Linked DNA regions of Saccharomyces cerevisiae S288C. Changing the gene in region 2 together with the main gene of any one other region gives a genetic interaction. Each region holds a gene or a part of one and is shown on either strand. Other genes may lie near its edges.

Evidence for each region.
Region 1: of FLC2 (region 2) and APM2, extra expression of one rescues a mutant of the other (dosage rescue), as found in Saccharomyces cerevisiae (one study listed by BioGRID).

Annotation. Positions count from the first base shown.
Region 1 is NC_001140.6:67,222-71,699, forward strand, and holds APM2 (Apm2p), read right to left. Parts: upstream 2,328-4,478; coding exon 510-2,327; downstream 1-509. Other genes in the region: transcriptional regulator OPI1, read right to left, coding at 1-235; MCO14 (4a-hydroxytetrahydrobiopterin dehydratase), read left to right, coding at 2,487-2,849; YHL017W (uncharacterized protein), read left to right, coding at 3,055-4,478. UniProt on the Saccharomyces cerevisiae protein: Component of the AP-1-related (AP-1R) complex, an adapter protein complex that mediates of cargo protein sorting in clathrin-coated vesicles. AP-1R has a specific role in SNARE SNC1 sorting.
Region 2 is NC_001133.9:44,015-48,794, forward strand, and holds FLC2 (flavin adenine dinucleotide transporter FLC2), read left to right. Parts: upstream 1-1,884; coding exon 1,885-4,236; downstream 4,237-4,780. Other genes in the region: ACS1 (acetate--CoA ligase 1), read right to left, coding at 1-1,008; oleate-activated transcription factor OAF1, read left to right, coding at 4,550-4,780. UniProt on the Saccharomyces cerevisiae protein: May be responsible for the transport of FAD into the endoplasmic reticulum lumen, where it is required for oxidative protein folding.

The DNA.
Region 1 (4,478 bases), on a different chromosome or scaffold from region 2:
TCTTGTTGGTGTTTATTTCATCGTAGAATGTCACTACGTTACTGATAATTTTGTTACTTACGCGATCCAAAATGTTTAGCGGCGTCGTAGACGACTCACTTGCCGGCATTTTGTCAGCTTGTGAGACGTCCTCTGAAGGCTGCGACTTCTGTCTGCATGATTGTTTCAACACCCCAAGTACTTCAGCCGCTTCTACCTCTTCCTCTGATAATCCTAAACGTTGATTTTCAGACATCAATGACTAGTATCTTCGTTAAAAACACTGTCCTGATACACACGCTTTAATCAGCACTGTAAACAAAATGCCACGTTCTGGCCTGATATGCTTTCTTGGCTAAGTGCAGATCGCTGTCTTGCTCCAATCCTCTTATTAATCCCTCTCATTGAGGTGGAAAAAAAAAAAATAAGAACGCCCGATTTTACCCGGTTGCATATGAAGATTATAAGGTGCCATCTATATACTAAAACGAACGTACCATTTGTCTATCTATGAGATGTCTGCGTAAGCGTCAAACAATATATGCGTACTCTTCGTCGCTGACGGTCTTGTATCTGACCCAGGGGAAAGACTGGTACTGCAATTGTGGCTCTTCGACCTTCAAGTACTCAACTTTCAGGCCACTGCATGTACAGTACGGAATCTCGAAATCAATGTTGACCAACTTATCTCGAGGAGTAACGTGGGAAGTTTGTTGGTCGTGCACTTGTCTATATAGTTCTTCCAGCCTGGGTCCCGTGCGCAAGGGCGGCGGATTCATTGAGGTTTTCATTTCTTCTTGCAGGCGGTCATATTCTTCCTGGTTGAAGAGGGGGAACTCTGCCACCATGGATGCACACGTATTTGGATCATCTTCGTCGCTGTTGTACTGTGAGCTCTTGTTTGTGCTATGTTCTCGGTGCCCCTTCATGGTTTGTATCTCCCAGAGGAGAAAATCGTCACTCAAGTTAAACACGACCTTGCCGATGTTTGCCTTGAATCTAATTTGCTTGCTGAGGTCTATTTTATATTCCTGGAAGACTTTTGTCAGGGGAATTCTCACGTTTAGCTTCGACGTTGAGTTGGTGGGTTTAAAATTTGTTTGAATTTTGGTTACAATTTGGATTTTAAACTTCTTCAGTTTAGGTTTGATTTCAAAATCTTTCAACCTCACCATCGGCGCATCCTTTACATGTCTCTTCAACTCGTATTGGCAAAGAACAAATTCGCCATCCGGCGGTATAAATTCGATTTCTCTTGCATCTGTGGCGGCCTGCAAACCAGCATCATCGTCACTATTCTTTTCTTCATCTTTTTCAATAGTGTTTATGGAATCTAGTGAAACACACTGATGAAAGCTGGAATTCGACATGAACTGGGGGTCCCTGTTCAGTATCTTGTTTATGGATATTTTCAGTTTGGGCATCCCTGATAAATAGCATCTGCACACAATCTCTCCATGTATCAGATTTTTCCTAATCACTCCTTTTTCAAAATCCATCAAGTACTGAACACGTTCAATAACATCAAGAAAGAACTCGTTTTTGGCGTAATGTATCCCCTTTGTTCTCCATGATATGGGCATTATAATCGTCTTCGCAATATCGCCATTGATGTATAAATCATTACCGTCATTGGGGAGCTCGTCATTAGCGGCTTCTTTACCGGTATCATTCTTGTTCCTTAGTGTCTCCTTGACAGTTTCCACCACGTTTATGCCCCTATTTTCTTTATTGTTTACCATTATACTTTTTAATTTACTTTTGCCCACGCTTTTCCCTTTAGTGCCCTTTTTCTTCTTCCTTTTCTTCTTCTTATCCTTCCTCTTATTAGTATTGCTGTACTCGCTATCGCTATCGCTACCGCTACTACTACTGCTCTCTTCACCAGGGCTCCACTCCTCATTGTCTACTGTAACTCTTGGTACGTTGACCTTCACACGAATGTAGTCCTTGATGATACTTGGATCCGTCACTTGTACGATACCAAAGTCTATACATTCATCAATCAACTCCAGGACAAGTAAGATGTTGTCCAGTATGACATTCTTAGTTAAGACCTCGATTTCAAAATATTTTTGTAAAAGATGATAAAATTGTTCCAAAAAGGCTAGTATAGTCATTAAGTCTATATTTGGTTTGTCTGTGGTATGTATCACTGAAACGAAATGCAGAAAGTCTCTCTTCAAATGTATAAAGAACCAATCGTTTTGGGAGAGAATTGGAGGCGACCCGTCATGATAACATTGTTTGAAACTTGAAAGAACCGACGATAGATTCGGTAGTGCTCTAATATTCTTCGATACCAATGGCTCCAGATTTTCATCCAGGATAAAAAGGCTTGACGACATGCCTTTCCTTCCTGATTTCCTCTTTACTATTTTTGGGTCCCTTTATTTGCTTTTTGTCCAAGGCATTCTCAATTTTCCAATCTGGAATTTAAGCCCTTCCAGTTATAAAACAGTAAACACAACCTACCAAAAGCAGAAAGAAACCAAAGTAAGAATACAATGCACAACAAGATTGTTAGAATCGCGTCCAGTGCACTCACAGGGGGCAAACTACTCGAGAAGCTAAAACCCTTGACCCGTTGGGAAGTTCAATGGGACCCTAATAAGACCAAATGTTTGGGAATAACAAGAGAGGTAACATTCAAGGACTACGAAACCACATGGGCCTTTTTGACTCGTGTATCGATGAGATCTCATCTATGGGGCCACCATCCCCTGATTCACACAAGTTACACCTGGGTCAAGCTGGAACTTCATACGCATGACATAGACCCGAAAGACGGGGCTCACAGCCAGCTTAGCGATATAGACGTCCGGATGGCCAAGAGAATAGATTCCTACATCGATGAGATGACAACTTGATAAGGCAGGGCAGGTCTAAAAGGCTATTGCTCTTTCCATTTTTTTTTTCCTATCGATTTTACTACTAGAAATTTTTGCTACCCATACCCATTCTCGCATTGCAACATGGAAAAACTGAAAATTGAAAAAAAAGGTATTGAAATTTCAACTGTATTGTGTAAATCATTTTTGGGCAAACTAGACACAATAACTAGCGAACAGAAAAATGGATAGAACGTGGCTATTACTGACGTGGCTGTTGCTACTCTGTGGGGTAGTTCAAGGGAACCAAGAAAGCATAAATCAAAAATATCACGATGTCTGTTCAGGGATGTATTCCAAGGAGGATTTCAATGGAAAAGTTGACCCCTATATATCGTTTACGTTGGAGGAATTGTCACTTGCTGATGAAGACGATGATGGCGAGGGGGTTAGTGTTGCTGTGTTTGATTTCCAAGATTATGAGCATATTGGTGTGCGGTTACCAAATGGAGAAATTCAGTATATTTGCGATGACTACGCATTGGATTTGGGCCTCTGTGAGGATTCGTCGGAGGGGCAATTTATCATTCAAGAGACAGCCATCGATCCGTTCACCAGTAAGGAACATAAGCTAACGAGTCAGATTTTGACTTTCACTCAACAAGAATTGGGCACTAACGACAAGGTATACTCAATTAACAAAACTGGTTACTATTGTGTGACCACGTCATCTTTCATTTCTTCCAGTTCCAAGTTTAAGGCTACAGTGAATTTTAGGAACGCTTACGGTCAATTGGACGCTTCAGAGGCGTACAAGATGCCTATTTATGCCTTTTTGGCCGTCGCTTATGCCGTCTGTACATTAGTGTACTCTTGGCTATGCTGGAAGCATAGACATGAGTTACTGCCTTTACAAAGGTACATTTTGGTATTTTGTATTTTCCTAACAGCTGATACTATTTTCGTCTGGATGTACTATATTATTGAGAACCAGAAGGGAAACTCCAGCGTCGCTCTTCATGTCTATATGGTTTTCATATCGATCTTTAGCGCCGGTAAGATGACTTTCACGCTTCTCCTCGCCTTGCTGATATCTCTTGGATATGGTATAGTATATCCAAAACTGGACCGTACATTGCTAAGAAGATGTCAAATATTTGCGATATTTACGTTTGCAGTGTGCGTTGCATTCCTGGTCCAAAAATATTCCCAGAATTCTGAGTCTTTATCCAATTTGATTTTGATTACTGCTATCCCCTTAGTATTATGTCTATTCGCTTTCTATTATTTGACACTGTCTTCAATGAACAAAACAATGACTTATTTGAGGGAACAAAACCAAGTGGTGAAATTAAACATGTACAGAAAACTGATCATATTGTGTTATATTTCGTTGTTTATACTCTTCTTAGGCTTACTAGTCTCTACTTTTGCATACGTCGGTATGGACACTGTTGACATGATAGAACAATATTGGAAAACAGAATTCCTCATCACAGATACTTGGCCTAGTTTCGTTTACTTCTTGGTCTTCGTCATTTTCGCATTCTTCTGGAGACCTACAAGTACATCATATTTACTAGCGTGCTCGCATCAATTACCAACTGACATGGAAAATGTATCAGAATTCGATTTAGATGACATAAATTCCTTGTCTGATGAGGCATT
Region 2 (4,780 bases):
ACCTGCGGTAGAATGTTGAACACCCTTGGGGGCACCAGTAGAACCAGACGTATACAACAAGAATAATGGATCCTCAGAATCAACGGGTGTGCATGGATAGTAGGTCTTGTATTTCTTCTTTTCTGTTGCCCAATCCAAATCTCTGGGGGCATGGAAAGCAACAGATGGATTGTTGGTCTTTCTATAAACCAAGACGTGTCTCACGCCTGGGGTCTCTCTTAGCGCGTCATCAACAATTCTTTTAGTCTCAATGACTTTACCACCTCTGTTGGATTCATCTGTAGTGATGACAACTTTAGAGTCCCCATCGTTGATACGATCTCTCAAGGAGTTGGAAGAAAACCCGGCAAAGACTACGGAGTGAATGGCACCGATACGGGAAATGGCCAACAAGGTTATGATTGCTTCTGGGACCATAGGCATGTACACGGCAACAGTATCGCCCTTGCGAACGCCCATAGAGTAAGTCAGCACTTGTGCCACTTGACAAACTTCTTCAAGTAGTTCCTTGTAGGTAATGGAATAGCCTTGGCCAGGCTCGTCACCTTCGAAAATAATGGCTTTCTTGTTAGGAGTCTTCAAGGCATGTCTGTCAACACAGTTGTAACAGGCGTTTAATTGGCCGTTGAGGAACCATGCATTGTTCTGGAAGGAGGGCCTGCCCGTTTTAGGGTCTGGGATGAACACCTTATCGAATGGCTTAGACCAGTTTAAAAATTGGGTAGCTTTAGAACCGAAGAACTTAGCAGGGTCTTCAATAGACTCCTTGTGCAAGCGCTGATAGTCCTGCAACCCGTCCAAGTGTGGAGAATAGTGGGTAGCAATTGCGGGCTGCAGTCTATCTGAGATGGGCCGTTGTGGCACGATCTTGACCGAAGTCAAATGTTCATACTCATGTTCCTTCTTCTGCTGCGCAGTGGCGGCAGACTGGGACATTTTTGCTTTCAACTTGTCAATTTCACTTGACTGTTCTTCTAGTTTTGATGATTGTACGGCAGAGGGCGACATAGCACAGTGGGCAATGTCTTTCTAGTAGTTTTGATATGTTTGGTTTTGCTTATAGATAGAAAATATAAGAACAAGATATAACGTACTACCAGATAACCTAAGGGAGAAATATGCTTAGAATAGCCGCCCAGTTTATATACAAAATGAAGGGAGAACTATTTGCCACCGAGGAACTGTACCCCAACTGCAATACCCATTGAATAATGGCATCGGAGGCTCGGCGGCAATTCGTACCCCAACCTTTTTTTTTTACTTTTCTTTGGATCTTAGAGATAACAGAAAAAAAGGATGACCCCAATCATTTGCCACGGCATGTCAACAGGTGAGTGCCTTTTGAGGGGGGGGGGTCATCTCGACATCCGGCGAAATGGAGCAGTCACACGTGAACATTTTTAGGGGATGGAGAGTGCTACGCCGTTCGTCCGAGATGATTATCATATTTACACAGCCGTACATACACGTGCCATTTATCTTGATATCATTCTGGACGTATGTGCACATGTGATTTGCTTTTGTTTTTTTAAGAATGTCGGGTAATAAACAGATTGTTTTTCTGGGAGGATAATCTTTTCTTTTTTCCTGTTGGTATTCTAAAATTAACCTTGCTGTTTCTTTTTTTTTTTTTTTTCGCGCGACTACTCAGCCATCTTGCATTTTTAAAGAAAAAGATAATCATTAATGCCTTCACGGGAATACGTATAGAACATTATTAAAAGTATATGAATGGCATATATATATAGAACACCACCCTTGGAAAACATTTATACCCCTTAAACTAAAACAATTTGCTGCGCTATACCGTGTTTCAGTGTATTATAATACATTCATTTCTGTTTCATTACGATTATATTGACGTGATAAAAAGATTATATAGCCATGATCTTCCTAAACACCTTCGCAAGGTGCCTTTTAACGTGTTTCGTACTGTGCAGCGGTACAGCACGTTCCTCTGACACAAACGACACTACTCCGGCGTCTGCAAAGCATTTGCAGACCACTTCTTTATTGACGTGTATGGACAATTCGCAATTAACGGCATCATTCTTTGATGTGAAATTTTACCCCGATAATAATACTGTTATCTTTGATATTGACGCTACGACGACGCTTAATGGGAACGTCACTGTGAAGGCTGAGCTGCTTACTTACGGACTGAAAGTCCTGGATAAGACTTTTGATTTATGTTCCTTGGGCCAAGTATCGCTTTGCCCCCTAAGTGCTGGGCGTATTGATGTCATGTCCACACAGGTGATCGAATCATCCATTACCAAGCAATTTCCCGGCATTGCTTACACCATTCCAGATTTGGACGCACAAGTACGTGTGGTGGCATACGCTCAGAATGACACGGAATTCGAAACTCCGCTGGCTTGTGTCCAGGCTATCTTGAGTAACGGGAAGACAGTGCAAACAAAGTATGCGGCCTGGCCCATTGCCGCTATCTCAGGTGTCGGTGTACTTACCTCAGGGTTTGTGTCTGTGATCGGTTACTCAGCCACTGCTGCTCACATTGCGTCCAACTCCATCTCATTGTTCATATACTTCCAAAATCTAGCTATCACTGCAATGATGGGTGTCTCAAGGGTTCCACCCATTGCTGCCGCGTGGACGCAGAATTTCCAATGGTCCATGGGTATCATCAATACAAACTTCATGCAAAAGATTTTTGATTGGTACGTACAGGCCACTAATGGTGTCTCAAATGTTGTGGTAGCTAACAAGGACGTCTTGTCCATTAGTGTGCAAAAACGTGCTATCTCTATGGCATCGTCTAGTGATTACAATTTTGACACCATTTTAGACGATTCGAATCTGTACACCACTTCTGAGAAGGATCCAAGCAATTACTCAGCCAAGATTCTCGTGTTAAGAGGTATAGAAAGAGTTGCTTATTTGGCTAATATTGAGCTATCTAATTTCTTTTTGACCGGTATTGTGTTTTTTCTATTCTTCCTATTTGTAGTTGTCGTCTCTTTGATTTTCTTTAAGGCGCTATTGGAAGTTCTTACAAGAGCAAGAATATTGAAAGAGACTTCCAATTTCTTCCAATATAGGAAGAACTGGGGGAGTATTATCAAAGGCACCCTTTTCAGATTATCTATCATCGCCTTCCCTCAAGTTTCTCTTCTGGCGATTTGGGAATTTACTCAGGTCAACTCTCCAGCGATTGTTGTTGATGCGGTAGTAATATTACTGATCATCACGGGACTTCTGGTTTATGGAACTATAAGGGTTTTCATCAAGGGAAGAGAGTCTCTCAGATTATACAAGAATCCTGCGTACCTACTTTACAGTGATACCTACTTCTTGAACAAGTTTGGGTTCTTATACGTTCAATTCAAAGCAGATAAGTTTTGGTGGCTTTTACCCTTATTAAGTTATGCGTTCTTAAGATCCCTGTTTGTTGCCGTTTTACAAAACCAAGGTAAGGCTCAAGCAATGATCATCTTTGTCATTGAACTAGCTTACTTCGTTTGTCTCTGTTGGATAAGACCATATTTGGACAAGAGAACTAATGTTTTCAATATTGCTATTCATTTGGTGAATTTGATCAATGCATTTTTCTTTTTGTTTTTCAGTAATTTGTTCAAGCAACCAGCAGTGGTTTCGTCAGTGATGGCGGTTATTCTGTTCGTTTTGAACGCGGTGTTTGCTCTATTCCTATTATTGTTCACTATTGTCACCTGTACACTGGCATTACTACACAGAAACCCAGATGTCCGTTACCAACCAATGAAAGATGACCGTGTGTCATTCATTCCTAAGATTCAAAATGATTTCGATGGCAAAAACAAAAATGATTCTGAACTGTTTGAATTGAGAAAAGCTGTTATGGACACCAATGAAAATGAGGAAGAAAAAATGTTCCGTGACGACACTTTCGGCAAGAACCTGAATGCAAACACAAATACAGCAAGACTCTTTGATGATGAGACTAGTTCATCCTCTTTTAAGCAAAATTCCTCTCCCTTCGATGCCTCGGAAGTAACGGAGCAACCTGTGCAACCAACCTCCGCTGTCATGGGTACGGGTGGCAGCTTCTTGTCTCCACAGTACCAACGTGCGTCATCTGCTTCTCGTACTAATCTAGCGCCGAATAATACAAGCACCTCCAGTTTAATGAAGCCTGAATCAAGTCTCTACCTGGGGAATTCCAATAAATCATATTCGCATTTTAACAACAACGGCAGCAACGAAAACGCCCGCAACAACAACCCATATTTGTAATCCAATATATACTCACATGTAACAACTTATTATATAAATATTTAAGGGCAAGGATATCCTACATTATATTTCATAGAAAACCGCTCAAAAAGGTGTATTATCTCCATTACATCCCAACACCACACATATTTCAGCGATAAAAACCTTAAATGTGAAATTCGCTTTGGCTCTGCTTCCTTAAATGTACGCAATTGCCGCTTTTTTCTGACATCTTTTTTGACGTGTAGAGAAGGAAACAGATCCTCCAGAAGGGATTTACTGTTGGCTATTTTGTGTTAGAAGCAGGTTAATAATAGATTAGGTTGCGTAAGTCATGGTCGAAAATAGTACGCAGAAGGCCCCACATGCCGGAAATGATGATAATAGCTCTACCAAGCCATATTCGGAGGCGTTTTTCTTAGGGTTCAATAACCCAACGCCTGGATTAGAAGCTGAGCACTCAAGCACATCGCCTGCCCCCGAGAACTCCGAAACACATAATAGGAAAAGAAATAGAATATTGTTTGTCTGCCAGGCTTGTAGGAAGTCAAAAACAAAGTGTGAT